Oryzias latipes: one gene and its partner. The protein of the gene in region 1 interacts with the protein of each later gene in a biochemical or structural test. Links are inferred from orthologs where the notes say so. Each region holds a gene or a part of one and is shown in the gene's direction. Other genes may lie near its edges.

The links.
Region 2: the proteins of E3 ubiquitin-protein ligase Itchy (region 1) and mlana form a complex in vitro, tested with the Homo sapiens proteins (2 studies listed by BioGRID and IntAct, with this or other methods). The link is inferred for Oryzias latipes from reciprocal best matches to the Homo sapiens genes ITCH and MLANA.

What each region holds. Positions count from the first base shown.
Region 1 is NC_019865.2:2,031,211-2,034,966, reverse strand, and holds the start of E3 ubiquitin-protein ligase Itchy, read left to right. Parts: upstream 1-1,292; 5' UTR 1,293-1,438; intron 1,439-3,685; 5' UTR 3,686-3,707; coding exon 3,708-3,756. UniProt on the Homo sapiens protein: Acts as an Acts as an E3 ubiquitin-protein ligase which accepts ubiquitin from an E2 ubiquitin-conjugating enzyme in the form of a thioester and then directly transfers the ubiquitin to targeted substrates.
Region 2 is NC_019870.2:12,936,186-12,939,941, reverse strand, and holds mlana (melanoma antigen recognized by T-cells 1), read left to right. Parts: upstream 1-1,377; 5' UTR 1,378-1,537; intron 1,538-2,235; 5' UTR 2,236-2,239; coding exon 2,240-2,328; intron 2,329-2,445; coding exon 2,446-2,542; intron 2,543-2,679; coding exon 2,680-2,787; intron 2,788-3,190; coding exon 3,191-3,259; 3' UTR 3,260-3,698; downstream 3,699-3,756. UniProt on the Homo sapiens protein: Involved in melanosome biogenesis by ensuring the stability of GPR143. Plays a vital role in the expression, stability, trafficking, and processing of melanocyte protein PMEL, which is critical to the formation of stage II melanosomes.

The sequences.
Region 1 (3,756 bases):
AATTAATAAAATAAACTTCAAGTGCACTACTTTTTGCCAAGAGTACCTTTTGAAAAACATATTATTATAAAAAATGAACAAACAATACATATGTTCATGTGGAAAAGTATAAATACACACATAAATGTGGTCATACATAAATGCTTAGATTTAAACATACCAGAGATTCATGTATGTAAGGAAATGTATGTAAACTAATATAAATGAAGAACAAGAATTTTTTTAATATGTCTAAGTAATCTATGTAAACATTTGAATTTTCGTATTTGTAATATTTCAATAATGCTTGAATGTAAATAAGGGAGATGGGTTTTTTTAAGCTTTATTGAACATAACATTAAATTACAAAACACAACATCAAGGAATCAAACAGATCATCAGCAGCAACAATAAATGCCATCATTCCAAACTTACTCATCCACATCAAGTAGTAATTGTAGCAGAAATGTATCAAAAATAGAATTTGCTGATAAGAAATAAAGTATCATAAAATATATAAAAGAGAATTAAAAAAAATAATGTTTACAATACAAAGTTTTCTTAGAGGCAGGGATTACATATCAAACAAAAGAAAACACAAATTGTTCCAGTGTAACTTTCTTTGGATGTGTTAATTTTTTTAATGTATTCATAAAACTGAAGCATCTCTATCTTAAATAGTATAAATTAGGAGTTTTCTTTTTTTTATTCTGCACTTATGTATGTAAGATTTAGATTGGAGAAGTAACAAATACATACTATTTTCTACTTTTTTATCATCAGAATTGAAATATGTGAGCATTTGTTTGAAGTTTATAATAATGTTACAATTAAATTTGATGTTTACAAAGCGTTTCCAAAATTCACGGGAAAATTTACAAAAGCAGAAAAGGTGAAGAACTGATTCGGGGAAATCAATACAAAAACGACAATTATTTTCTATATTTGAAAATTTGTGGTGTAAATGTTATGTAGAATGTTTTTCATGTATTTCTTTAATTTTGTTATTTATACAAAATAGGATCCACGCAATTCTTTCCAATTTATATCATTTAAAATAAGGGAGATGTTTTGTTTTTTTTAAACTTTATTGTTCAAAACAAATACAACAAATATGTGTGACAAGATCAATAGTCATAACAACGTGAATGCCAGGGGATGGTACATGTATTACAAAAGAAACATTACAGAAACAGATTCCTATGAATTGATTGGAAGGGAGATGGGTTTAGGCACGATTACGCGTTTCATCTACGTCACTCCTCTGGTCCAATCACCGCGCAGAGGGGGGAAGAGCGCACCCTATGCACCCCGCCTTGTTTCGGTCACGTGACAGGAGCTTACGAAGATGGTGGAAGTTTCTACTTCCTAAAAGTGAAGGCTGACTGAAACGACAACGACGAAAGCCGCGAGGATTTACCACCTGATCGCCGCGCGTTACACCATCTTCTGGATTAAGGTGAGACGATAAATTTCACCTGATAAATCAGAGGACTTTTCTCTCCGTCTGTGACTGCCTGACTTTGGGGTCTCCAGCCTGCTAGCCCGCGTCAGGCTAACAGGTTAGCAGCTAGTAGCCGTCTCTGTGGGATGGCATCAGGTTGTTTGTGTCCAGCTGACATTCAACACGTTCATAACAACTGCAGCTTCAATGCAAATGTAGCCGCTCCATGTTCAGCATCTATACACTTTGTTTGTTTCCTTCTCGTTTTGGTGAAGGAATTCGGCTATGTTAGCGTTAGCTTAAACAGTACACTTTCAGCTGGAGCAAATTATGTGTGTAAGGTTTGTTTAGCCACACTGGGTGGGACATGTTAGTGAAAGAAATTAGTTTTTGTTTTGTTTTTTCCGCGTAGCAACAACATTTAAAAACCTATTAGTATCCTACGCTGAGGATCGATAGACCATTTTACCTTTAGACACTCGGAATAACCACCTAGGAAGGTGAATCAGCAGTAAAAGAAAAAATGCTGTTGGATCGAGGCCCGATCTGACTGCGCCTGTCAGGCGTCCTTATTGACATTATGGGACATGTCTTCTGCTCAGGAGTGTCGTGAATCTCCTCTGGCAGGATAGATTGGTCCTCTTAGGATCAGTGGAGCCTCTGGAGAAGGCCTGATCGCGAGCAGCAGTTATCAGCAACCCGGCGAGGCGTGTTCCTCTGTGTCTTTATTGCAGGTTTAGCTGGACACTTATTAACTCATTGCGTGACCAAAGTGTCTGAGCTGTTAGTGCTTCATATTTATACCCCTTGTTGACAGGCCCAGACCCCCCCCCCCCCCCCCCCCATTTCTCTTTATAATGAATTGAGTCGTCTGATAGTTGTCTTTAAAAAGGACTATATTTTGAGTAAGCACATAGATTAACGCCCTGATTCCTATAGTGTGTAATTATACCTGTTTTGCTGATACAGTGTTAGTCATGGGGCGGTAGTATGTCTGTGACGTGAACGGTTAACAAGTTTAGTATTTCTAAGGGATTTCTTTTTTTTTCGACATAAAAAGCAGATTTTGTTTTAAAATAAAAATAGATGTAACACGTAAGGAATCCACAGCGAGACAAATGTTAATTATCAGACTGTGAGGGATTAAAGATAGTTAAAAATGGAAAAGCAAATCAAGTTGGAATTTAATTTTAATATCTGGAAAACACCTTCATTGACAGAACGGTCAGTCTTCTTGCTATGCAACAAAGTCGGTGGTTGCATTAAATTATTGACAAAGATCAAAGTGAAAGTTTACCCATCAGCCCCTTACTTTCTCCCATGTTGCCCTGAGTCACTGGGCCGGACAGACTGAGGACCATCTATTATTCAGAGATGTTTGGAGGAAACTGGCCATGCTGAAACACAGATCGTGTGTTTTATTTACCTGCGTAAGGCCGTCATTGTTGATTTAGTCTTGCTCATATGTTTGTTGGGCAAACATTTTTCTAAAAGAACATTCCCGTCTGTGAGATTCAAGCATAAATATTGCTTTACAGCGGCTCTTAAAGTGTAATAAAAAACACCATCTGGGTCCAATAAGCACATTTTTAATGTTCATCACAATCTGAAATCCTCTGGATATTTTCCATACTAGACAGATGTCCTCAAAAAAAACAAAATAAATAAAATAATGCAAATCAAATTCTTAATTTGATATTTGATCACCAAATTGAAAGTTAATTATACTTTGGACATTTTCCTGCCTCTATTTTATAGTTAAAGATGCTGATTTTTGGTTCAAGAAAGTCACATTTAGCTTCTTTTTTTGTTATCTCCTCAAAGGTTCATTCAGTCCTGTGGATTTTATTCCTGATATTATGGATCTGAACTTCCCGTTACTCTGGCTTAGTTTCTGTTTTGAATGCAAATGTCAGCGTGTGTTCATATTTCATATGTCGTAGCAAATTTAGAAACTGTTGGTTAAAAGTTTTTTTTTGTTTTTTTTAAAGGACTTGACTCAAAGTTTACAACTGTGGTGCAAATACTGAGTGTGAGCAGTGTAAACTCAAGCCTGCACTCACATTTATCCTTCCAGGATATATTCTAAAAAGATTCCAGTGGAAGCCATGAGAAGAAATAATTCTTTGCTAAATGACAGGATTATGCTTTTTAGAAAGAATCAGGAGTATATTAGTTTGCCAGTCTAAGACTTTTGTATGTAAAGACATGTTCATCGTCCTTGCAGGAAGCGTTCTAATAGTATTTCTTTTGGTGCTGCAGGGCCTCTTCTCATCCTTATGTCATGGCCAGTGGGCTCGCCAAGTCAGGCACTTCCAATGGTTTCCCTCTCA
Region 2 (3,756 bases), on another chromosome or scaffold:
GTTTTTTTTGCATTTATGGTTTCTTTATACTATTTTATAGCATTGGAAAAGGTCCTCCAAATGTCTGATTTCTGGTTTTATTTTATTTTTTTGATGAAATCCAAACAAAATTAAAGTTTAAGCAACCAGCAGCACCAAAAATATGAGGAAAATTATTTTTTTAACATGTTCTTTTAGTGTGCTAATACTAGTTTTTATAAAATAAAATAAAAAAGCTTTAAATAAAACAAAAACTGTTTGTTGGGATGCCTGAATGTTTGTGCAAACTCCTGTGTCAGACTGATCTCCTATTCATCTCCCATGTGTCCACTTGCAGTACCATTTTTTTCTGTCTGTCTTTAAGACGATTCTCTACAAAGCAAGATTCTTTGAGGGGAAAAACTAGGAACTCGCAAAATGTCCAATGAAGGTGTGGCAAAAAATTTTAACAGCACAAAACATGAAATATCAAATACTGTACACAGTTTGTTATTTTTGAATACAGACGTTTTTGTGCAAAACTGAAACAGTTTGTGAACAACACTAACCTTTTAATTTTCCGCTTTCTGACTGCTGGAAAATATGACTTAATATATAATAAATAAATAAACAAACTAATAGAAATGGGATTTATTTATGATTTTATTTTTCTCACATCATAAATACAAGTGAAGGAAATTTCGAGGAAAATAAAACTACTTTCTGTTTAAAACGAGTTCATCTCATCAATACTAATAGACAATAATCTATAATAGATTATAATCTATTTTTGTTATATAAAAATGAAAATAGCAAATAGACGTAAGATCTACTTGTCATTAAACTTGTTTTTCCATCCTTTTGCAATTGTGATTTTCCAAAATTGATGGACAATTGCTTTTAAGAACTTTGGCATGTTGATTCTCCATAATCCAAAATTATAGTTTGTTATTTGTCTTTTTGTTGTTTTTTGTTTTGTAATGATAACAAATGGTAAAAACTTTATATTAAAAAAACTCTATTCAAGTCACTTGAAATACTACTAAGGCTGATTTGACACATTAATTTATTTTAATAATTGACTAAATATATATTTTTAAATACACATGAGTTAAAATGGTTTTGTTAGCCACACGTTTTAGTCTTTTTAAATGTATTAATGCTGCCATCTTTTAGAAGCTGCATTGCCATAGTTTCCCTCTCATACACAAAGTGTGAATATTTCAATTTTTCCCTATTATATAAACTAACTTTAGGAATACAACAAGCAGCAGTGCTCCTTCTCAGACATTCATCTCTCACATGAAAGGTCAGCAGCTCCTGCCTGGAGTTTCACGAGTGGACAAAAATGTTGCGTTCACGGCCGCGGGGTTTCACGGTGATTACTCCGCTTCAGTGGGTTTAACCATGAGTCTCTAACCCGTGACGGTCATGAGGGGCTTTTGTGACCCTCTCTGGTCTTTTAACGAACCGAGGCAAAATATTTCATTTGTGAAAAAACCCACACAGCTCCCTGGATTCTGTCTTTGTGAGGAGGCGTTCGAGAGGAGGACGACGACTTCGCAAACTATCCTACTTGGTATGAACTTTTGGAATATTTTATTTAAAATGTAAGGATACACGACGATGACTCACTTATCTGTATTAATAAAGTTTTATTCAAAATTCCCTTAAACAGTTTTTTATTGCAAAGAAAATGCAAAAAAGGTTGACAATTTATAAGCCCAGTAGTTGTATTTTCTTTAGATTCTGTTTTTTTTTTCACCAGCCAAAAAGTTATGCCAACTTTTTTATTAAAAATATTGACGCAAAAGAGTACTATCCACTCAGTTATCATTTATTTATTTGCAGAATGGAGATCATGATGTGTCTACCATTGACAAAAAGTAGTACACCTGAAGTTTATTTTAAAAAGTATACTTGAGTATAACAAGAGTTCTTTAGAGCATGTACAGTCTGGAAAGTATACTGAGTACTACTTCAGACTTCAAGTAAAAGACTACTAAATGTTAGTAGCAGTCTTTTTAAGTTTACTATAGTGGAAATATAGACCAAGTATACTTAAATGGACTACTTTCTGCTAAGGGTATGTTGTTTTGATCAGTTTTCTGTTGCTTTTTTTTTTTTTTAGCTTGATGGTAGTAGTGTATTTAAGTGTACTACAGTACAAGCAATGACAAAGCATACTTGTATTGTAGTACACTCAGACTCCTTAAAGCGGCTACTTTTTGCCAAGGGTATGTCATTTTTTTTTATCAGCTTTCTGTTGTCTTTTAGCTTGATGTTGTGCAATCACACAGACGGGATGCCTCGTGGAGACTTCAACATTTATTTCACCAGTGGTCGACGAGGAAACGTCAGAGCTGAGGAGTAAGACTTTTAGTTTGAAAATCGGGGAGCTGGAAACAAAGGAGGGCTTTTGTGTCATCTTCAGGTTCAGGCTCTGATGAAGAATGTTTGAGGTGAACTTGCTGCTTTGCTTCTCAGGGCTGTGGGGATTGCTCTGCTCGTGGTCCTCCTTGCAGGCCTCCTCATCCTCGGCTGCTGGTACTTCAAGAAGAGAAGTGGCTATAAAATCATCAGAGTGAGATGATCTCACCTGTTTTGATGAAAAGAAACTTTCACATATTTATGATCACGTCATATGTAGCTTCAATAGTACTGTCCTTTTAGGATAAAATACTAAACAGACTGTATGTTCTCATGATTTTCCTCCTAAAGACCCCCAGATCAGGTTCTCCAGGTTACACAGGAGGTCACTACTCAGAGGGGGGGCCCTCAGCTGATAACAAGATGGCTCTCACAGACTTCGGCAGCTTTCGACCAGTGGTGAGTGATAAAGAGAAATGTTTCGACCAAACGTGTGCCTTAATGAGTTGCTTTATGAAATACTGATTTTTCCTTCTTTGAATGAACATGAAAATCGTTTTTAAGATGAAAGCCTCAGAGTTTAGATTACTGTGTAAAACATGTGAGGTTGATGCAACTCTACGAAGGGCTGAGGGGATTATTATGTCACCAGACGAAAAGGATTAAAAAATCCCTTTCCAGAGGAAAGAAAGGAGACCAAGGGCAAAAAAAAATCAACTTTTTGAATGCTATAATGAATTTCATATGTGTAAAGAGGAATTTTAATATTGCAAACAATGAAGCTTACAACTTTACACATCTAAAGAGACAAAATGCCACTCAAATTGCTGTCTGATTTTAATATATTTACCCCCCTCCCCAGGTTCCTAATGCTCCTCCCGCCTATGAAAAGATTTCTTCAGCACCACTGCCTCCACCCTACTCCCCCTGAACAAGGGCTACGGACTGCTGCCACCACAGAAAGGGGAAAAAACAACAACTTTGAACTTGATTTGGGATTCAGTCAACTCATTTTTTAAGAGGATTCCTGATGCTTCCTAGCTACACGCAATAACACACCCTCTTAAATCTCTTCTTCACACCTTTTATTCTCTTTTGTTCTTTAACAAACAATAAAATGCTGTGTCACAAATAAGTGTATGAAGAGTTGAATCTGCACAACCACGCTTGTTTGGGACAGTTACAGTCTTTATTTTCATGCAGAGATGTCCAAGGTTGCTCAATGAAAATGTACCTCTTATTTTTCTTTTTTAAAAGCTATATGGTAAAAAATAAATAAATGTGACTCCAAAACTTTATATGGACCTAAATGTAGTAAAAATGTATCTATTGATCTACATTTCTAAAAAAAAAAAAAAAAAAACCTTAAATGTAGTATTTAAACAAGTATTTAGAAAAAAAAACAGAACGCAGAAAGTTGAGTTTTTC